2 linked regions of the Drosophila melanogaster genome follow. The protein of the gene in region 2 interacts with the protein of the main gene of each other region in a pairwise test. Each region holds a gene or a part of one and is shown on either strand. Other genes may lie near its edges.

Evidence for each region.
Region 1: the proteins of CG12253 (region 2) and Sas10 interact in a two-hybrid assay, tested with the Drosophila melanogaster proteins (one large-scale study listed by BioGRID).

Annotation. Positions count from the first base shown.
Region 1 is NC_004354.4:5,310,160-5,323,640, forward strand, and holds Sas10 (something about silencing 10), read left to right. Parts: upstream 1-7,249; 5' UTR 7,250-7,344; coding exon 7,345-8,631; 3' UTR 8,632-8,912; downstream 8,913-13,481. Other genes in the region: snf (sans fille), read left to right, coding at 1-270; TrxT (thioredoxin T), read right to left, coding at 1,079-1,552; dhd (deadhead), read left to right, coding at 2,301-2,624; CG4198 (uncharacterized protein), read left to right, coding at 3,274-3,986, 4,053-4,773; CG15930 (uncharacterized protein), read right to left, coding at 5,299-5,875, 5,942-6,027, 6,117-6,647, 6,713-6,877, 6,941-7,123; Rnp4F (RNA-binding protein 4F), read right to left, coding at 8,977-9,423, 9,495-9,597, 9,654-9,774, 9,839-10,345, 10,400-11,344, 11,403-11,578, 11,660-12,168, 12,231-12,248. UniProt on the Drosophila melanogaster protein: Essential for gene silencing: has a role in the structure of silenced chromatin. May be involved in gene regulation during development. Binds RNA.
Region 2 is NT_033779.5:10,985,893-10,996,253, reverse strand, and holds CG12253 (uncharacterized protein), read right to left. Parts: upstream 8,449-10,361; 5' UTR 8,420-8,448; coding exon 8,099-8,419; intron 7,969-8,098; coding exon 7,272-7,968; intron 7,206-7,271; coding exon 7,087-7,205; 3' UTR 7,013-7,086; downstream 1-7,012. Other genes in the region: TTLL4A (tubulin tyrosine ligase-like 4A), read right to left, coding at 2,233-2,511, 2,581-2,751, 2,820-3,259, 3,332-3,456, 3,523-3,880, 3,934-4,284, 4,369-5,195, 5,471-6,069; piwi (P-element induced wimpy testis), read left to right, coding at 8,922-9,005, 10,126-10,361.

The sequences.
Region 1 (13,481 bases), on a different chromosome or scaffold from region 2:
GAGAACTCGAACCCGAACGCACAGACCGAGCAGCCGCCGAACCAGATCCTCTTCCTCACCAATCTGCCCGAGGAGACCAACGAGATGATGCTGTCCATGCTGTTCAATCAGTTCCCCGGCTTCAAGGAGGTGCGTCTTGTGCCGAATCGTCACGACATCGCCTTTGTGGAGTTCACCACCGAGTTGCAGAGCAATGCCGCCAAGGAGGCGCTGCAGGGCTTCAAGATTACGCCGACGCACGCCATGAAGATAACGTTCGCCAAGAAGTGAACGCAACTCCAGTCGCCGGGCGTTCCAGCAACTCCAATAATAATTTAAACTATAGAATAAATCGATATAAACAAACAAACTACGAGTATTCCATATGCCCATATCCCTCCCATATCCCATTTCGCCCAAAGATCCTTAAAGGCAAAAGTATAGAATAGAATAGTTGATTGTTTATTGTGTAGATCTATTTGTTTGTCTGCAAACTTATAACTAACAGCTAGTAATGCGTATTATTTATGTCGGTCGATTGTACATATTTCCATTTAGTGTATAGTATATGGTGTATAGTAGTATATATATATATATATATAGCGTCCCTTTGCTCAGTCTGCATGGTGTATCAAGCTCGCTGCAAAATCAACATCAGTTTGGTGTGCGGGAGCGTGTGTTGAGTAAGTCCCACAAGTCCTCGGATTCCCAAAATGTTTGCTATATGTAGAATCGTTCAGCGACGTAGTCCTCCTCCGCCGTAACAACATCATCAGGCTTACAATTGTAATGCAATCATCATACTTTAGGCACCACAAATGATGAGTATTATGAGTGTGCATAATAAATCTGGGATAAGTGTGTGTATTATATATATATATATATATATATACATCGATAAGTGTGTGTGTGTGTGTGTGTGTGTGTCTATGTATATATATATATATATATCTATTGCTTTCTTCCGTTACGTCTGTTGAATGATGAGCTGCAGGAGAAGGAGCAGGGAATCGGTTATGTGACCACAATGCTTGCACTCCGGCAATCGTACTTACATACATATGTTGTCGTTATGTTCGGAGTGTAATGGTACTTTTGCCTAGTGCTCCAGAACGGCATTCTCGTCGTGGGCGGACACCTCATTAACGTTGTTGTTGTCGTTGTCGCTTTCACTGGACTCGGCGGTCAGATCGACAATGCATTCGCCATCGATATGGACGGCCTTAACGTCGGCCGCTTCATCGGTATAAACGCCGGCATGCTTCTCCATCAATTTGGCCAGCTTATCGGAATTGCAGCCAACGAAGAGCTCCAGCACATTGCCGCCCTTGATGAACACAAAAGTGGGCATGCTATTCACATTGTATTCGACCGTAATGTCCTCGTTCTCGTCCACGTTCACCTTGAGTACGACGACACGGTCCGAGTACTGCTGCGCCAGTTCGTCCAGCTTGGGTGCTATTATCTTGCAAGGTCCGCACCAGTCTGCATAAAAATCAATTACCACCAGCTTGTCCTCGGCGAGGATTAGCTGCTGGTCAAGATCGTCCTTGTTCCGCACTGGGTACACCATGACTTTAACTAAATTCCAAACGGATTGCAAATCGAAACGAAACAAAAAAAAAAAAAAATGGGAAGAGAAGAAAGAAAAAAAAAAGGAAAATGTTAGAAAATCTTGTTTTGGGTGTAAAATTCACTTGATTTGTTTTGTTACTTTTGAATTTTAATGGAGCTCTGCCCTCGCCGAGATATCAGCCCGAAATGAAAATTGTAGGGCGGCAGGCGTTCTTTTATACAGTTTTCGCCAAATATTTTGCGGCCTTCTTGGATTGAAAAAAAAGTGTTTTCAAATGTCAGCGGCGCGGTGTGTTGAGGTGAGTTTGGCTTCGAACCTACCACGGCTATGGCAACACTCGAGGAAAATATTAGTACTATGTCGTGTGACGCCATTATTTTGCCATAATTACGATAATAATATTCATATCGATATCGATAGACCTGCCGTGGTGAATAAGTATGTTCCCCACCCCCCAACACACTCGGTTGGCTTTCCCAACGACCTGGCAACCCTAACACGCCCGCCATTTTGCACTCTCCATGGGCCGCCATTTTGTTTAGCGGCCACGCGAGAATTCAGCATGCAAATTGGCGGGAATTCCACTCTACACACCGCCACTTGGAGACCCCTATAAAGTCGCCTACGCAGCCGCCATTTCAATCAGTTCACAATTTGCAGCGAAAGCGCCAACAGCCCCATCACGTCAAGTTCTTTAATTTAAAAAAAAGAAGAAAAACACTTTGCTAATCCTCGCGACATAAAAATGGCATCCGTACGCACCATGAACGACTATCACAAGCGCATCGAGGCGGCCGACGACAAGCTAATCGTGCTGGATTTCTATGCGACATGGTGTGGTCCCTGCAAGGAAATGGAGAGCACCGTCAAATCGCTGGCCAGAAAATACTCCAGCAAGGCGGTGGTGCTCAAGATCGATGTGGACAAATTCGAGGAGCTGACGGAGCGCTACAAGGTGCGCAGCATGCCAACGTTTGTCTTTTTGCGCCAAAATCGACGCTTGGCCTCCTTTGCCGGCGCCGACGAGCACAAGCTGACCAACATGATGGCCAAGCTGGTGAAGGCGTAAGCAGCAATCCTGCCCAGCAATTAGCAATCAGCAGCGCATCTTTTTTTTTTTACTTATTTAACTCATCTTTTAAACATGTTCGCCTCATTTGTGTTCGTTTATGTATTCGATGTTATGTGTATGCTCATGTGATGTTTAGCTTGTAAGCGCGAGATGTGGGTAGCAGGAGATGCAGTGCAGCCAACAGCAGTGACCAGATGATATATGCTATGCTACTACTACTACTTATATGCTATGATTTGTGGCGCGGAGGCGTGTCTGCGACACATAATCCCGCCCATTTAGCTTTAAGATTCAGGCACTAAGAAGCAATTCGATCAATAAATTATTGTAACCACTCTGGACATTTAAATGTTAACATGGAATCAGCTTTGTTTTTTTTTTGCCCACAGCATTTGGATTGTTAACCAAGTAGGCGCTGCGTGGTCATGTCATTTCGGGTTCCAGCAACATTTGGCATTTGCTAACCAAACTTGAGATCACACACACGAAAAACAAAAAATCCCAAACATTCCGCAGCACAAATTCAATCAAATCCAAAACGCACATTTCGGTCGCATCCAAATTGTACGGATTTCGTTAGTAAATAAAAATCAAATTTCGTGTAAATCCAATCCATAATCCGTGGTAGAGTAGAAACCACACCATCATGTCGTATCAGATCAAATCGACGCCCTACTTTCGTCGCATGTTCAACGAGAGCAAGAAGAATGGCCAACTGCAGCGTCTGCGTGATGAGTACGAGCGCATCCAGGAGTTCAACGATCGCACCATCGAAATGAAGATGCGACAGGTGCGATTAAAGCGGCTATTTCGCGAGATCGAGGTAATTAAGGTGGCTGGCGGGGCGGCCGGTGGCGCCAGCGGTGGCGGCACATCGACGGCATCATCGCCATCGAATGTTGACCAATCGTTTGGTTTAGCCGGCGGACGCGTTACCCGCCGGAGACGGCAACAGGCACACGGTGCTATCACGCTGGCTAGCAGCACGCCCCAGCAGCGGATGCACAAACAGCGCATAGAGACGCTGGCACGCGCACGCCAACTGGGCCAGGAGATCTCGCGTCGGAATGGCCTAATGGCCGAGGCCGGCACCGGCGGTTTCCTGCGCAGCGAACTCCGGATGACGGCCAAGCTGCAGGCGGCGAACGATGCACGCCGGGCGGCCGTGGAGCGTCGCGACTTGGCCGCCAAGCGCATCTCCTATGGCAACGATCAGTCGCGACAGAATATCCAACGCATGCTCATCCAACGCCAGCGCAGACATGAACAGCAGCAAGCGTTGGCGGCGACAGTAGCATCACCGGCGGCACCGTCATCCAATTCCTACCAGGTGTCCATAGCGCAGCAGCCGGTCACAAGGTATGTAAATCTTCTAGAGAATTGTGGGGTTATGTTCACCTTTGTTTGTTTTTTTGTTTTGGCCAGCAGGCCCAGGCATGAATACACGGACAATTGCCAACAACAGCAGGAACTGCTGGCGGTGACCAGTGAGCGATCGACGGAGCAGGGCGATCATTTGCAGATGGAATGCGAGGGGCAGTCGTACTCGGAGCAAAGCTTCCATTCGAACGACTGTCTGGCGCAATCGATGGACGAGGATCTGGATGGTGAGGAGGAGCTGGAATACACACGCCATCGGCGTGATGGCGACGCGGATGAGGAGCCGGAGCGGCAGTCCTGCCTGGTGACGCTGAACAAGGAAAGATCCACATTGGCAGCCACATCACCGCTGGATATGCGTCGAGTCAAAAGCTCCATTGATTCGTATCGAAAGACGCACCTATCTCCGCTGGCCAGCGGCAGCAATTGGGTTCGGGTTGTTGGTGGCGCCCAATCGTCCACCATTGGATCGCATCAGCCAAGTGGAACGGTGCCGCCGCCGCTAAACGATGAACTGCAGCTGGATTCGCAGTCCAATTCGAGTAGGTGGCATGAGGTCTCAATGATGCTGTCGTGGTTCGGCGCCGCTTCCGACATCCCAACCGACTATGCCGATGCTCCGCCACCCGAGGTGCCCAGTCACTACGATTGCGATTCCATTAGCAATGCGGACGATATGCCAACGCCAACTGTGTGCCGTCGACAGCGCATGTTCGCCGAGCAGCCGAGTGATGCTGCCACACAGGCGCAGGAGGAGCCCTTCTAGCCAGCCGACGAGCGGCAGACGCACTGCAGCACACATCTATTTTTTTTACTGCAATTCGGTATGGAAATCCAAACCATCCAACCAACCAACCAGGCAAGTCTGCAGCGCCTGCAAAGTTCACTTATTTGGCATGCTACGCTAGTTTTGGCTTAGAATTCCCGGCCCATCCTGTCCAGAAGTTGTGCACGTGCACTTGGCTGGCAACCTTTTCGCATCTTTATTTGGTAATAAAATTATGGGTATGGTATTACATTTCACAAATAATAATAAAAAAAAAAAAAGAAAAAAAAAAACAAACAGCAATTTCATGTTCAAGTTACACTTTTCAAATGATGCAGTTCATCCCTGAGATAAATGATTGGCAAACATGCCAGCTTGATGATTTATGTATGTTCCGTCGTCTGGTTTTGTCCTGTTTTCATCATTCCTGCTCCTGCTTCTGCTTCTGCTCCTGGTTGCCCACTAGAAGTGCGTCATTCATTTTTATTTTGAAATGGATTCAGCGCCTTGGGCACATGGTAATCCCTATGGAACGAATGCGAAATCATCATCATCATCATCATCATCATCATAATCGTGCAGCGGCATAATTAGCGGCTCGACCATCCCAAAAGGCTGCAGTTCGGGCGCATAGCAACAGGACTCCAACTTGATCCGCGACTCGATTAGATCGTTGATGGTGGGCACAAAAGTTTCATCATACGATAGCCGCATAGAGAATATACCCTGAGCGGTATCCAGTTCGCCGACATGGGCATACAATACCCTATTGAATGTCATGCGCTGGAATGCGGTGATACCATTTTTTGGCCACCCATTGGCCAATGGGCGTACGTGCGACATTTTGCCGCGAAATACCAATGGCGGTGTGCGCGCAAAGCTTAGTGGGAGGAATCGTAGATGGTTCGGTGCCAATGTGACAGACAGGGCATGATCCACATACTCTATGTTCACACATTGGGCGTCCAACGGTGCGGTGACGAGCACCATGGCACGTCGCCAGCCACACTCGCTGTAGGCGGCGCATATGTAGCCCTCTTTATAGAAATAGCTAGGCAACTCGGCACGGTAGCTGCTGATCGTCGTATGGCGATAGAACCAGCTATGGGCATTAAATAACAATATTATCAATCAATCAGTCAATCAATCGATTTAGTTAGTAGCTTACTTTAGATCAATGGTCATCTCGGCTACAGGATTCTTGGCGTACTGCGGTGGCACAATGTGGAACCAGAACTCACACGGAGAGAACACCTGCGCAAGAAAAAAAAACAAAAAAAAAAAGATTGAACTCCTATTTCAAAGCTGTCTCTTTGCTTGGCACGGGACCAAAGCGCACTCACACAGCTCATGATGATCGGGAAGATAGAGTCCTCCTTGCAGATATCCTGGATACGCTGCGGCGGCAGCTTCCAGTGCATGCCAACGGCATCCATGGGCAGTCCATACATCAGTGCACACAAACTAACATCACCGATATCCGGGAAATCGGAAAACGACGGTATCAGTTCCTTGACAATGTAACCATCCGTCGTTTTTGATTCGAGTCCATCGCTGTCGCTATCGTTGTCCGATGTCGACGCTAGCAGTGTTTCCACTGACGCAGCAGCTTCTGCCACTTGGCTATTGCTATTCATGAAGTCAGCATTGCCGGTGTGCAGTTCATGCATCTTCATTGGGCCAGGATTGTTCATTGCCTGGCGCTCCGACACGGTGGCTAACAACTGCTCCAATGGCTTTCCATTCACCTGGACATCGGCTACATCCGGCGGCACAACGATGTTGCAAAGCATCTTATCGAAAATTCGCACATGGTGCTGGTCGTCAGTCTCAGCCGTCGGCTTGGAATCGGTTGTTTTTAACTCGAGAGCGATCTTTTAAGGGGCGAAAAACTTATTAGTAATTTCTACAATACATATATGTATATATTTCGACGCACATGTGCTTTTTCGAAAACTTTTTGCAAGTCACTCGAATCGGAAATCACAAGCCGTATTTTGGCATTGGGCTGGCGCAAATCGAGTGCTAATTCAATTGTTCCATTGATCTGCTGTTCAGAATTAGCCGGCTTCTTGGAATCGGTAGTTTTTTCCTCCAAAGCGATCTTTTAGAGGAAATTACTTATTAGTATTAACTAAGCATACATGTGTAATTTGAATTTACGTACATCTTCGACAACTTTTAGCATGTCACTCAAATCGGCTAACACTTTGTTATTCCGCATTTTGGCACTGGGGCAGCGCAAATCGAGCGGCACATCATTGTTATCCTCGGCTTCTTCCGAAATTTTTCTCAATTTCGAGAGCAAAGTTTGAAGTCTTCCTTCTTTGACGTCCATCTTGCTTTGCATCCTGATTTTAACTGAATTTCAATTGTGGAACTTTTCCCATGTGGCATCACCGCCGTAAGCTAGACGCTAGAGATGGCAAATGCGCCATCCGCGAAATCCACCACACCAATCGGTCATTGGCGGCTATCGAACGTGTTATCGAGCCGTTTGTTTACGCACGTGTTGTGTTTGATTTAATTTAGTTTTAATTTGTATTTAAACGCACAGAGAGCAGCTAGCAAATGGACAGCGACGGTGACGACTACGTGATGAGCGGCTCCGACCAGGAGTACGATGACGAGGAGCGCGAAATACTCGAAGATCTGCGCAAGCAGCGCAAAAAGCCACATGATCCCGTCCAGGAAGTGCTCGGTTTCAGTGATGATGACGACGACGACGACGACGACGACGAGGAGGAGCAGCAGGATGTGGCGGAACTGATGCGCGACAGTGACATCGAGGGCGCCGAAGACGATGACCGCGATCTGCCCAACACCATGGACTGGGGCAGCAAACGGAGCACGTACTACAACACCGACTTTGTGGACCAGGACTACAGCAGCTACAATGCCCAGGAGGAGGAGCAGGCACGCGCCGAGGAGGAGGAGGCCAAAAAGATCCAGCTGCGTCTGGCCAAGCGCATGAGCGAGGCCGATTTCCAGCTGGACAATGTAGAAGCAGCGCCCGCAGGCAGCAGTGATGACAACGAGCTGAGCCATATAACCAAAGTGACCAGCGATCTGGCCGGCCTATCAGAACGCGAGCGACGACAGCTGATGCACAGTGAGTCGCCGGAGTTCATCATTCTCACCCAGGATTTTCAACAGCATCTCGACGAGGTGAAGAACCTATTGAAACCGGTGCTCAACTACGTTCGCAAACACGATGTGCCCATGGTGCCGGCGCTGCAATATGCCGGACTCTGCCACACCGTGCTCACCACCTACTGCTCCAATGTGGCTTTCTATCTGCTGCTCAAGGCACGTCGCATCGACGTCAAGGCCCATCCGGTGATTAGGCGGCTGGTGCAACTCAAGGATCTGATCGAGGAGCTTAAGCCGCGCTACGAGGAATACATTCGACCGCAGCTGGAGGCGCTGCTGGAGAGGATTGAAGATGGCGATGCATTCACCGTGCTGGATGTGGCACAGCGCAAGGCTAAGCTGCAGATACTCAACAAGTACAACGATGGCCAGCAGGCGTCAGTGAGCTCCGATGATGATGATAATGATGACGATGACGATGCTGAGAGTAAGGAGAAGGATCTGCAAGAGGAGGCTGGTGAGGAGGAGGAAGAGGAGGATGCGCGACGCGGCATCACCTATCAGATGGCCAAGAACAAGGGCCTCACGCCGCACCGCAAAAAGGAGCTGCGCAATCCGCGCGTTAAGCATCGCGGCAAATACCGAAAGGCGCTCATCCGGCGCAAGGGAGCCGTGCGCACGGTGCGCAAGGAGCTGCAGCGCTACGGCGGCGAATTGTCCGGCATCAAGGCCGGCGTCACGAAGAGCGTCAAGTTCCGCACCTAGTTTTTATCCAATAAATCCGCCAAGATCATTACATTTTAATCAACTCGATGTTTGTACACTTGAAACACCCATTTCATCCAAAGACTCACCGGGGATTAGTCAACTAGCTGTCATATGCGAAACAAACAAACATTTTTCTTCACTTGGTTCATCAAGAAACCAATTTATATGAGTCGAAACAAAAATCATTGTCTTACAACAGTTTTTCTCTTTGTACAGTGTTCTCCAACCTTGTCTGTTTAGGTTGCCTTAAATCTAAAAAAATATATGCTCCAAATCTTCGTCTTCGTCTTACAAACTAAACCATGGCCGCTGGCACCGGGCTCAGCCGCCGGCATTTGTCGCCTAATCCTTGAGAAATAGCTTGCGAAAGTCATCGTTTGACTTGGGCACAGCAGCTGGCATCTCCTCTTCTTTTTTCTCATCTCCCTTTTGCTCCACTCCACTTTGCTCCTCTCCTATTTGATCATCTCCTTTTTGCTCCTCTCCTTTTGGCTCCTCTCCTTTTTGCTCCTCTCCTTTTTGCTCCTCTCCTTTTTGCTCATCTCGTTCTTGAACATCTCCTTTTTGCTCCTCTCCATTAGCCTCGCGCTTGATGGCCACGTCGACGGATGCCGAAGTGGATGATATGTCCCCCGGCTCGGGCAGAAGCAAGCGCAGCTTCTTGGCAGCCACCTCTTGGCGCACCAGAGTCGTGGGTATAAGCGAGGTGGGCACACGTCGCTTGGGCGCCACACTTGGCTTGACAGCTGATGTGCCCCTCGGCGGTGGGTTTGAAATGGCCACAGAGATCTGAAAGAGTTGTGAAATGCATTTGCTTTGGTTGGTTCGGTTAAACATGAAGGCACACATCATTCGCTTACATTCATGCCCTTGAATAGACAACCATCTCGTCCAGCCACTGCTCGTTGCGCCTCGCCCGGCTTCTCGAACTCAACGTATGCAATGCCCTTGAACTGCTTGTTTCTGTAGAGGATCAAATAGTTTAAAATCAATAATTGTAATTGTAATCTCGCACTCACAGCTTGTGCACCAGGCGCACATCTTTGATGGTGCCGAAAGGCGAGAAGAGTTCGTGCAGCTCCTCCTTGCTGCAAGCGGGATGCAGATTTCTTACAAAGATCTTATTGATTTCCATGTTGGCTAGAAGAGAGACAACTAATGTAAGTCCTTGAAACGCATGTGTCCAAACGGCATGGCGACTCACGCGAATACTTAAAGTTCGATTCCTTGGCCTCTGCATTCGCTGGCCCCTTGACTTTCGATGGCGGTGACGTAGCTCCACCAGATGGCTCGGTTCTGGACTTCTTAATGCCATGCTTCTGCTGCTGCTGCTGTTGCTGTTGTTGCTCATGCGCCTGGCGACGTCGCTGCTCGCGATTCAGTGGCTCACGATTCGTTTGTTGCTGCTGCTGGCGCGGCTTAAGCTTCTGCTGGCGAGGATAAGCCGACTGTGAGTTGGGCTTAATGCGGGAACGCGGCTTCACATACTCGACAGGCAGATCGAGGGCCTGGCAGGCGGCAATGGACTCGTAGGTGCCATAGCAACGTTCATAGCGGCGAAAAAACTCCTGCACCATAAGGCCATTCTCGAGGACGGGCTGCGAGAGAGCTTTGCGAAGGACATCGCGTGTGCCGTGGCCACCATTGTATTCGCTTTCCATCTGGGCAAAGTTCAGCCAGAGCAGGCCGCGTATCGAGCTGCCCGGATAGCCTAAAGATGAGTAGTTAAAACATTGCTTATGCAATCATATTTCAAAGCGCTCACCCATTATTTGGCGCCAAATCTCACGGCCATTGTCCGGACTCCCCAGTTGCGTGTACTCAACTTGGGCCCACAACTGCAGCACCTCGTACCTGGTGTCCGCCTGGTCGCCGTAGAGCACGGTTAGCTCCTCCCAAGCATGATTGAAGGCGGCACGCAGACTGGCGACCTGCTGCTCATCGCTGGCATTGGTGTTGCGAATACGATAGGCCAGATAGTCCAGATGCAGCTCCACGGTCATATCCATGTCGGTCACAATGCGCTGCAATATGAGACGTATCTCTTCATCCACTTCCGCCAACTCAAAGTCCGAGCGCTCCATTAGGTCGAGGAAACGATGATTCAATTGTACACTGGGATGACTGCGCACACCACGATTGGCCAAATCGAGTTCCGTGTTGCGCAGAAAACCTTTGCCCAAGCGTTTGGCCCGTTTGGCTACCATTTCGGCGGTTACCTCATTCTCATCCTCATTCTCCGGCACAGTGACGCCTTCGAACTGAATGAACTCAATGTAGGATAACCAGAGCACATCGACAATGGGAAACTTGGCCACCGAGCGTTCGAATATGAAACGGATCACAGCGTTTTTGAGGTCATCGTCAAGGGATAATGTCTCCACATCGTAGACATGAGCCTTGTGTTGCTCAGACCAATCCCAACCACGCGTTGTCTCGTCCAGATGTTGCTTAAACTTGTCCACAACGGACTTGATCATCTGCCGCTGCTCCACGTTGCACGTCCAGGTGACGCAGTGCTTTTGCAGCATTTCCACAAAGGCGGCAGCCTCATTTTCGTCCGTAATTGTCGATATCAGCGAACGCAGCTTGTCGCCAAAGTCTGGACGCTCCACGTCGTAGTCCGCCAGCAGTTTGGCCCACAGCACATGGTTCTGTACGTTGCCCTGATCCACCAGGTAGTTGACAACGTATTCGGACAGCGGTATGCCTGCAATATGTAACTCGTCAATTGGTTTAACTACGAATGGATTCTATCTATCGCATACTGTAGTAGTAGCCCAACGCTTTGGCACACTGCTCCTCGAATGCCTTGCGCTCCTCGTCCGTTTGGGTGACGACCAGGCGGGCCTTTAGATACTTCAGCCACACGTGAGCCGGCACAGTGGCCAAATTTTGCAGCTCCAGCACCGATGACTCGATCTTTTCCAGATCATTCAGTTTGCTGCATTAACGAGCATCAACATTAGCTAATGCCGATATTGAAAAAATGGAAAATGGGAGTGGGAGAAGCAGGCAAACTCACAATGCGATTCCAATGAGCGAGACCATTTGGGCAAACTTTTTGCTGGGCAACGCATTCAGCTCCTGATACGAGCGCTCTAGCTGATTTCCGCCGCCAGCGTTGTCGCTATCACTGTCACTGTCACTGGACACCTCACTGTTCGATTCCAATTCCGAGCCTTCGATCACGCCCACATCATCGCTACTGCTGCTGGAATCATTGCGCGCTCTGCCACGGCCAGCGGCATTGCCTCCCTCAGTCTCCTCCACTGACGGCTCGTCGTCCGATGAGATCAACTCAATGGTGGTCATATCCCCGCCGGCGGACGACGGTGGCCAGGTTGGGCGCGATCGTTGGCGCAGCTCCTCCGACTTGTGCTCCTCCTCCTGCTGCGGCGACTCACTGTGCCCCTGCTGCGGCGAGCCCTTGCCCTGATCGGGTATCACGATCAGATCATACTCGTCATACGCATCGTCGTCCAAATCCTCTGCCGGCATCTCGTCCAGCTCCTTCTCCAGCTGCCTTTCCAGCTGCAATATATTGGGCATACGCATAAGGGCGGCGCCTATTGGAGCTATAATCTGACACTCACCTGCTTGTCGGCGTCCATGCTTCAACCGTTTATTTTGGTGGAAAACTTTTCGCTTTCCGTGGAACTGCAATTTTTCCCCCCCAAAAAAAATACAGGAAATAAAAAAACAAAAAAAAAACCGCAAACGCAGGGCTGGCCAATCTAATATCGCGTTGTTGCGCTTATCGTGGAAAATTATTTGGTTTCAGGTTTGGTTTCCCTATTGGGCACTTTTTCTTGGAAAAACTTTCCAAGCACTTACTTTCTGAGAATTCGGTTAACGAAAACTTATCATTTTCTGTCAAGAAACACCGGTAAAGTGTGAATAATATGCGAATTTTTTTTTCGTTATAACAGTGTGACCAGTGCGTAATATCGATAGCTGTGCGCACTCGATAGTTGCGGCAGTCCAGACAATGGCTGTGTTACCAGCAGTGCAGTGAAGACTCGTGATGAGCAATTTGAAGACTAATTTCGGTAATATGTGGTCAATATTAACTGGTTTCTTTGGGCGGTCAGAAATGTATAGCAAAGTCAAATGATAAACTAAATCCTACCAAGAAATATAATTTATTTTAAACATATATATATTTTATAGAAATAAATAAAAATGGAATTTATTTTACTTAAGTGCTATATATATATGTATCATAAAATGTAAACAATTTCTGTTTCTTTTACACAAACTATTTAATAATAATAAACTATTTAATACGCAGCCACATCATAAATGGATTAAGTGTAGACAGTACTCAGGCAAATAATAAAAATATTATACCATTATATGAATGGATTAAGTGTGGACAGTAATTAAGCAAATAATAAATATATTACTATATACTATAATACTATAATAGGAATTGATTAGGTGTAAACAGTAATAAGTCATATAATACATATATTGTATATATTATAGGATATAGTAATAATAATATAATAATAATTAGGCAAATAATAAATACAAATATTATACTATTATAAGAATGGTTTAAGTGTAATAATATTATATATTATATAATAATTAAGCAAATAATAAATATATAATACTATTATAAGAATGGATTAAGTTTAAACAGTAATTAGGCACATAATACATATATTGTATATATTATAGGAATGTATTAAGTGTGGACAGTAATTTAGCAAATAATAAATATATTTTACTATTATAGCAATGGATTAAATGTAGATATTAATTAGGCAGATAATAAATATATACTACTATTATAGGAATTATTTGATAGTTTTCTATATTGTATGCATTACAAATTA
Region 2 (10,361 bases):
GATTGGAGTTTATTATTTTTTGACTTTGTAAACAGCTCATTTATTGTTGATTTAAATAATTGGCAGTTCACTATAATTAATCAATAACAACATATTTACTGATTACTAAGAACTATATATTAAGTTCAGTATTAGCAATAACACTAGTCCAATCTATTATAAAAAAAAAGATCACAATTTAGTTACGAATTATGCAATTTTGGTAATGTCCCAACAGAGTACATTTTGATTTAAGTATTTGAATAGCCTATTTGCAAGTACATCTGAATTTATTAATATTAAATATCAAATATATACATGTGTTATTAAGACTAAGGTAATTGCACTAACAATAACAATAATGACTACCAATAATACGATGGCAGCGACTGTCACTTTAAAATCCATCTCATAAACTTGATGAAGTAATCCTGCAAATTTACAATTACAGCAAAACAAATTGATTTAATTGCATCAACAATTAGACAATAAAAAACTCGTTTAACTCTTTATAAATTGAAAAGAAAAGAATTACATTGACATGATTTGCACGGTATCAAAATGAGGGGATGTTTTGGATAAATATACAAATAATAAACGAGTATTGAGTTGTTTTTCTGTAGCAGCAATATTCAAATGTTGATTTCCACTAAATGAGTGATTGTTCAAGATGGCAAAACATTTAGAAAATGCTCAGTGTATTTATGACTTTTCGAAAGCTAACTTTGCAGGTATACTTAAATAATAAGACGGTTGACTGCGTATGTCAAAAAAAAAAATTTTTTGTTTTTGTTTTTCTTTTTGTAAATGTTCTATCAAAAATACTTTTATTTTTCAAACTTAAGCTATTTGATATTTTTTTTATATTTTATAAATTGGGCAACTCAAAAAGTGGTAACAAGAGAATATTTAAAATGTTTTTCTCTGCATATTTGTGTTGAACGATAAATTTCTAACTATACGCTTTTCGCTACATGGAGAGAAAAAACATGTTTTGCATAACCAATCAATATTAACAAAAGGTATAAGCATTGTTATACATTATTTTTGTGAGTTAACTATTGGTCAAATGAGTTCGAAAAAAAAAGGTAAGAAGTCCGTGGAATTATAAACCTTATAATATAATGATTATATGGAAATTTTCTTTCAAAAACACACTACATTCGCTATGGATATAAATCATCAGGCGCAGTTTACTTTGCGATGGTCCGGGTTGGAAAATTTGCGTAAATATGTTTATTAAAATGTTATTTTTTTTTATTTTTTTTGTTTTTTTTGTGAAAGATTTGAGGTCGGCGCGTTGGAAAAGCTAGTTATGGACAGCCGATTGAGGTATATTACCATTTAAAGACCCACCTGACGCTGGAAGAAAGTCTTGTTCTGGACTCAGGTGTAAGGAATATGCAGTGTGATCACCTTCAACATACTTCATATACGCAGAGACATAAAAAGAAATTATAGTGATGGTAACGTCGAACAGAAAAACACAAACAAGAAGGCAACGCAATGCAATGAAATACATATGGATTCGGTGAGCAGTTTCTGTTAAAAGTTATTTGCTATAGGAACATTTCAATTACATAGAACATCTGGATTTATAACTATATGCATATGGGGCCTGTCGGCAAAAGAGAACATCACTATTTGACCATCCCTCTACTTGTAATTTTATTTAAGCTTCGTTATTTACCTATGCATTACTGGTAAAGAAAACAAAAGATTTTTACGTTATGGTAGTTAACCGGTAGAGATGACAAATACACTTTGTTGTCCTGGATATATTTTAAATAAAGACAGTACAAATATTATAACAAGCTTACTGGTTTTCATCTATCTACTAATATTCGAGATTTTATTTTACGATGACTCTGCGTGGTCAACAGATAAGACTTACTATGGCAAAGAGCGCGGCACCGCCAAAAGAACGATTGTATAAATCTCCAACAGCCCTCAAAATTTAACAAAAGTAGTCGAGAATTTATGAATATTTTAACTGATTTTTAGAACAGTATTTTTGTGTACAAAATAATTAAAACGTGGGCAAATACTTAGTGTATGTATAGAATGCAGTGCAATATGCACTTGCTTTCACAAATTAGGTTTATTATAAATAAAATAGGATAATAACTTAAGATACTTGTAGTATTTAAAAAAAAAAATATCCTGACCTACATATTTGTTTTGTATAGTTTACGATTCATTTAAATGGGTCTTGTGAAAAGCTTCTGCACTATTGATGAATAAAGATCTCACCTTTTTGGCTGGAGGAGTTGGGACTTGAAGATGATATTTGTTTTGACAATAATCGCGCAACAACGCTATCCCTTCTGTGCGATTGTTAGCGTAGCGGGATTCCCAGGCATCCAAAAGGCGATTGTAATACCGCGGAGTGTCGTTGTATTTAAGGTACTTATGGGTTTGATCAGTTGGAAAGATGCGCTCCAGCGGTGCACATCGCGCTAGTTCATCCTCGGCTATGATAAGGCACCTCACATCATCGGGGGTCAGATTATTTAGGATCGCATCCACATACTGTGTTGTATTAAATGTTATAGTATGATTAGCAACCTATCCATTTGGAGTATCAAATTTGCGCCTCACCTCATTCCGGTCTTCCATAGACTTTCGGGTAAATGTGTTATGTTTGATCTTTTCCTCGCGCGACAAGTAGTTAATGTAAAGCCGCTTGTCATAGCACATTTGTGTGCCGGGAGGAAAGGAAAATTCTGCGGCCAGTTCTTTTTGCTTATCAAGCGATAGTTTTGGAGGTACCTTAAAATATGTATCATCATATATATAGTTATACGTTCTAAATTCATATGTAAAATGCCAGCACTTACGTTGTACAGCGCTGTATTAAGAACGCCCTGCACTAAAGGCGCTTTAACATGAGCATCTAGGGGCAGTTCCGAGTGTAAACTGGGCGAAATATTAACTTCCAACAGCCAAGGCACAAGATCAGAGTCCAGAATAACATCGAAGCCGAATAGCTCGAAGCAGCTGTACTTTGATTCAACATTTGCTCTAATCATGCTATTAATGCCATTCTCGCCAGCAAGAATTGTCCGAAGCACCAAACTCCTCAGAGCCTCCCACAGACAGTCGGTACGCACTCCACGATTCGCCAAATACGTCCACAGCGACTTGATAGTCCACTTATGTCCGTGGCAGGCATTGACGTCTTCGTTCTTCGAATAGTTCGAGGAAAACTTATTGATGCTGTAGTTGGTCAAATGCATACACCGATCATTCAAAGTGTCCGTTTTAGCGCTGTACTTTACTGAATATACATAGTATAGTTTCCTTTGGGTTAATATACGGCTCACTCGATTTTAGATAAATATTTACTTACCTGAAGCGAACCGTGCCAATCCGTTGTGGTACATGAACACTCGCAAGGGATTCACTGATGTAACCAAGACATACAGACGCAGATCAAATTTACTACCATTTATTAGAAGCGGTCGCTCTATATACCTATGTAAAACAAATCGGGAATAATTATTATGTTTCCGAAGCTTTTGATCCTTAGATGCTACATACTTTTGTACGATAAGGGGCCTTCTCTTGGGTATCTGGCCCCATCGGTTGATAACCCTGATGCCAGCACCCCGAGCACTAGCTGGTGGCTTTATAATCCACTTAGTATTTCGCTGGGCATATTTCGGCCAGTGCCGGCGCAGCGCTCCCAGATCATTGGGAATAATGTATGTGCGTGGCATGAACCCGAATTCCTTGTTGCTGTGCTTACCCATCTGCCTTTGCAGATTCTTCCAGCACGAATCCTTTCGGCCGATGCGAAATGAACCGGGCAAGTGATTAATTTTCTGATACGAACGAATGGCCTTAAAACACGGTGACTTTAAATGCTTTCCCCATACGCCCATCCAGTCGTTGGTTTCTACTTGCGAAAATACATATTAATTGATATCTGATTATTATGTAGAAACTCACTCTTTAGCATTCGCATTCCGCTGTTGGCCAGAATCAGACGAACTACCTTTGGCATTATGTTTGTAATGCGCCACTTCAAAACGCGATGAAGATCCGGCGGCACGCGTGGACCTCTTTTTGTGTTCGACGAAAAAGACAAATAAGGGGGCACGTAGGGAAACAAACTGGGAACCAGAAGGGAATCCGGATTTTTCAGATCATCCTCAGACGACTGCGAAGACAAGAAGCTGGGCGTGCTTTGGGGCGATGAAAATCGATCCACAGAGTGGGTAAGCTTGAAGGCATGGGCACGATAACCGTCCTCAGTGTCTGACAAAACACTCGCCGTGTCGCTTTCGTCGAAATTTGATACTATTATTTGGTTAAACAATGAAGTACAAATTAGTTAATTATCAATTAATTAAAAAAAATAGATCTAAGGTTAACAATTCTTACAATTGTCGAGATCATCATCTTCGTCGAAGTCGTCATTACGATCGAAGTCAATGGCACTACGGTGATCTTCCTGTTTGTGTTCCGGCTCCAGCAATAAGACCGTCTGTCTTTCATCACCTGCACCCAGTACCTTGGAGCTCTGCTGCTTTACACTTAGCCGCTGGGTGCTGAACTGCTGCTTGCGGCCGAGCCGTGGACTCTGAGTGCTGTACAGCAGGACTCGGTGAACCGTGGGCATTGGCTTTTTGGTAGACACGGTCCCACCTTTGGCCCTCTTTGGCGTCATGGGCAACCGTGGCATGGGCTGATCCGTCGACTTACGCATAATCTTTAATTCATTATTGTTGTTATTAATAAGCGTGTCTCCGGAGCCATCCAGGACCGTATTTTCGGTCATTCTGCAGTAGCGCCGATGTACTCCGACCTGCTCCAGCCCATTGTCAATTACAACAACGGGGTCATAGCTATCTTTAATGTCCCTGTAGTCATCTTCGCTTCCAGGGTCTCCTCCCCAGCCATTGTCTAGGTAATCGGCTTTTAAATCATTGCTTGGGAGCTTTTCCTTTAGCACGTGCTTCTCATACTTTTGACCCTGCCAGGTCCTGTCCTCGGAATTGTCCCTTCGTCCAATGATAACTGTGCCATCGACTTCTCGCGAATCCCTGCGACTGGCGCCGGCCTTTTGAAATTTACTCATTGGCACTTTGCGGCTATTGGCAGCGGCAAACGTTGGCTTGGACAGTTTCTCCGCTCCACGGTTGTAGAAGTACGAAAAATAGTGCTGATAGTGCTGGTTTGTCGTCTGATACTGGACCGGGCGTTCCGAGCTGAAAAACGAGAATGGAAGGCGGTTATTTACAACATGGGGAACAAAGGAAACTGTTTATTGTTTACACATCTATGTATGTTCAATGAGTGTCTGTGGATATATTGTTAATGTACTCGCAACTAGAGTGTTGTGTGGTATCTATCTGTAGTTTTCCAAATTGTAACTTTAAGACTCGAACACAACAACAACAAAATACGTGTGTGTGTGCGTGTACTGGAGGTATGTAGTTTCAACAAGCAGGACAATTAACAAAAAGGCATTTGCATAAATTACAGTATGTTATCCCAGGTCGGCTCTGGTGAGGGGGAATTGAGTGGCCGATATCGGTCCGGACTATTGTCCACATAATCGTTGGACACACGTCCCCCTCGGTCTTTCCGTTTCTTTAGCTCCGCATCAAAGTATACGATGGATGGCTGCAACAACATCTGCTGCTGTTGCTCCTTGTCTACGGCATATGACCTTGCCTGCTTGTACTGCCTATTGGAATGCTGATCCTCCGATCGCTGTACCGTCTGATAGACGTACTCGCAGCTCTTGTTGCCAGCTATCCGCTGGTTGACCAACGATTGCTGGCCAAATGCATCGGTAAACAGTGATGAGTCCGGCGCCGAATTGGCCGCCGATTGGTGGTAGCTTGATCTGGCCGATTGCTTGGTGGGAATTCTCTTTGTCGGCAGATTATGGTTCTGGTTGGGCACTGAATTTTGATTCTGGTTCTGGCGATTGCCCCACGCTGGAGCGATCAGGTTGCAGTTATCGTAGCTATAGTAGCAAAACGTATTGTCCGCATTGCAGTAACGTGACGCCGGGGCTCCATTGTTGTTCAGACTGTTGCTAGCTGGGATATGATAGCCGCTGTTGTTACGCATGTCAGATCCTGGTCACCCAGTCATATATCTGTTGAGGGGTACGTACTAAGCTCGATGTGATCTCTGACTCCGCTAACCCAAAAAAAGGCCTACAAACAGGTTTTAAATGCTGTGAATGATTTCTGATCGGATTTGGACGTAAGTTTACGGATGCGGATTAATCATATCTGGTGGATAGATAGAGAGAAGCCAGAATGCATAGTATGCCACTCTGGCGGTGAATATACAATATAGATTAACCCCGCCATCACCCTGGGCTACCAAGCGTAGCTGCCACTCCGTAAACCAGGTCATATGTACAAAAACTTACTTGCCTCGCGATTTGTGACCTTTACTTTGTTGCTGCAGCTGGAAGGATTAACGGGCACGGAGCAGGATTGCGGTGGCGGTGGTGGTGTCGTTACTCTACCCAAGCGCAGGACTCCCAAAATCTAGGTCACTGGCACTTGTCGTCAGCTAGCTCGGTGTGATTACATTGCCAGCACGAAAAATGCGCCAGGTGTAAATGTATGTAAAATGGAGGCAAAAACTGAAATGCAAATCGAACACACATCCTTTATAATCATAATGATTGCGGAGGCACAATATACCTACAATATAACTAATAGCAAATGCACAATTTTGTCTAATAAATATATTGGATTATTTGGTAGCTTCCAGTTAAGCGTGAAATTCTTAAACGTTCACTAAAACTTTTCACAGCCTATGACAACAAAAAACTAAACTACTGTTTTATTGAAGAACAGAATATCCATGTGCACAGTTTGGAGATGGCAGCGTGAGCACCTCAAACTGCCACCTCGCGATAGATACCGATTGCGCACGCACCAGCTGTTCGGCCGATAGGGGACTTCCCGAAGAAACCGTTTTAATCGCTCACTTTACCCGTTTAGCCTGGTTTTGAATCGGAAAAACACGTAAGGAAAATCGACATCATAGGTTTGTTTTTAATAATTTTAATACTGAAAGTTACAAATTGTATTCGTAATGGGTTCTGTTTGCAAGAACTCTTATTTATTAGCAAGCAAAATGGGTTTTAATGAATTGTCTTCGATTGTTGTCATCTCCGGATTTTGGTGACCTTCCTATGGAATTGAAGAAAGTGGAATTAAAGGGTGAAATGTTCTGTTCCGTATCTAAAAAGATAAATGAAAACCAATAAACAATGAGCACTTTAGGATCTATAGCATTAGTTAGCTTACCAATGCTTGGATCGACCCACTCCATGGCCATGTTGTGGAGTATGGCCAACGCCGTAATCGTTTGCTTTGCAGATCCATGGGAACCCTGGATTTCGGTGGCAAGGATACCGAAGCGACTCATCAGCAGATTGAGACACTTTCTAGCCGATGCGTAGGTGACCGCGTGGGCGTGGTTATACAGCTCCTCGGATTGGTTCCTCGGGAATCGAACCGGTGTGAACAGGGAGGAGGAGCAGCGCACCATTTCGTTGCCCAGCAAAATACGACCCCGGAACTCGTTCTGTTCGAATCGATCCTTTATTTTGGACAGACCGAACATCTCGGTGTCGGTGAGCATGGACTGCTCATCGATCAGTCGGATATCAAGGTCCCTTATCTTATGAGCCGCATCGCAAACAATCTGAATGTGAAGTTCCTCCTCCCGGCTGGTAAGGGCGGGCAAAAGCTCCTCTCCATCCAGATCAGGGGCACAGTTTTCCGGTTGAAACCTCACAGTTGTCTGTAGTAAAGCACCAATGACTTGCGGCATATTGGCAATTGCTTGAAACGCCGAACCAGATCGCTCCTTTTCCGATAGAGTAGCCGGCATTCGGATATACCTGGAAGCTTTCGATGATAGGACAGATGCCACGCGCCTAGTTATTTTTGCCAAAGTGCGTAAACTAACGCCATGGGCCATTGCAGTTAATTTGGGGTGCTTAAATAAGAAAAAAATTTAGTAACAAATCTTAGTTTTCATTTTTGGCGGGCAATTTTGAAAGCCAGTTCACACGGTTTTGATGTACATACAAATTCGCGAGTCTGGCATACAGAAATGTTTACTGTACCTCTGTGCCGCCCCACAAGCGAATAGCGGATAGAATCTGCAAATCTATTGGAACTTGCTCCCTCTTTAACGGCTCAAAATATTCAATTTCCAAGTCATCCCGTACAATTTCAATAATTCTGCGAAGGTTTTCCTTAGTGTATCGGTACTTTAGTCGAAATTTATGCTCATTTAGATCGGTCAATGGATTAAATCTTGGGTTCCTTTTCTTTATATGCGTTGCCCGCGCTCGAGAATTGTGTTTGATATTCAGAAAACATTGAAAGTCTTTGAAATAATCAAAGTCTTTTAGAGACCTTTGAAATCTTTGTATATCTTCCATTTTCACTTGTTTACTTGCATAGCAGGGTGGCTGTTTTGTATATATTAGAAAATACCTCATACGTACATGCGGTATTTAAGGCTCTTGCAACGATTGAAATTTTATGATGAAACTTTACACTTTAAAAATAATCTTTTTAAATGTTGTTAATTAAAAAAATGTAAGTAAGTAAATTAATACTTTTATTTTTTTTAAGCACGTTATGTACTTTTGGAGTTAAATAATTTTTTTTTATGTATTTCTATACTTTTAAAAAAACAGAACAGAAAGAAATCAAAGCTCGAAGTACCAAAAAATAAATACTAGGGAAATAGAACCTATTGCGAAGATTTGCAAAAGCGATTGTTTTCAGTTGTGAAGACTAATATCTACACATTCCAAAAGCTTAACGATCTTTGAAATCTGGCCATTTGGTCACACTGAGTCCAAAGCGTCGTTTTCAAAGTACTCTTTCAGTTTCCATTGTGAAGTTTTAAGTGATCGCGAGTGCCAAAAAGTAACAATGGCTGATGATCAGGGACGTGGACGCAGGCGTCCACTTAACGAAGATGATTCCTCTACTTCCCGAGGTAGTGGTGATGGGCCGGTATGTAAACTCTTATTCAAGCTAGGAAAAAAAATCATAGCGGTAAAGCAAATTCCTTATAATTCCGTTATGTCGCAAACACAAACACAGCCATGTACATAGATTGTAAATGCGCGCATTTCTTCGGAATTCGACACCAAAAGGAAGCACTAAAACTAACAAACAAAAATCTGCTATGAATTTGAGCTTGACTGCATAAAATCTTCTTGAATTTCTGTTGACCAAGCACTTTTTTCAAAGGGAATTCATTAAACATATTTCCAAAAACGCTTCTTTCAATTTGAATTTCCAAGGAAATGTAAAGCATTATCTGTTTCGTTTCATTTATTTTTTTTTAATAAAAACTGCTAAAATAACCATCACCTGACAGGAAGGTGGCTGTGGCAAGCCGAATCTTATTTACCCTTGCAGTCTATGTCTTTGGAATCTGCATGCCCGACGTTGATATGGACGGACATGACCAAATGGACCCGGCTAGTGATACTCATCAAAAATCATGGTCGGAAACGCTTCCTTCTATCTGTCACATACATTTGATTCCTAGAAACTCTACGAGTAACGGGTATTTCTCCGATATTCATCCCAATTCTATACAACTTTGAGATGGCTTTCAGCATTGATATACTCTGAAATTGCAGGCAAAGCATACTACAAAAACTATTTTTTACCATTTTTTTTCTGCTTCATCTTTGATTATGAGTAACAATATTTTCGTAGCTTGACCGTTAGTTTTATGATTTAAAATCTGTCGTACTTTAGGTAGTTGTTTAAATGGCTCACATTTAGGAATCACAACTATTTGTTTAAACCCCTTAATATTTTTTCTTTTAATAATAAATAATAAACAGGTAATACTTTTTGATTGTTCATCGCGATTGTTTTCAATGTACAAAGTTGAGTCTTTCTGGTGTTTATTGCTGTCTCGTGTTTATTGCTGAATCTCGCACGATCTCTCTCTTTCTTCTATGTTATTTTTTCCATCGGCGTCAATTATTCATAACTGCCGCTAGGTGGAGCTAGTGTGCAGTCATTCACTTCTATTAGGAGACAGCGTCCTCTATATCTAATATTATAATTTTTTTTAAATGAGTAACTTACATCATTTAATGCTTTCATGCAGCGGGTGAAAGTATTCAGAGGATCTTCATCAGGTGACCCGAGAGCGGATCCTCGTATAGAGGCTTCAAGAGAGAGAAGAGCTCTCGAGGAAGCTCCCAGGCGTGAAGGTGGCCCGACAGAGCGAAAGCCGTGGGGTGACCAATATGATTACCTGAATACCCGTCCGGCTGAGCTGGTATCCAAGAAGGGAACCGATGGCGTCCCGGTCATGCTGCAGACGAACTTTTTCCGATTAAA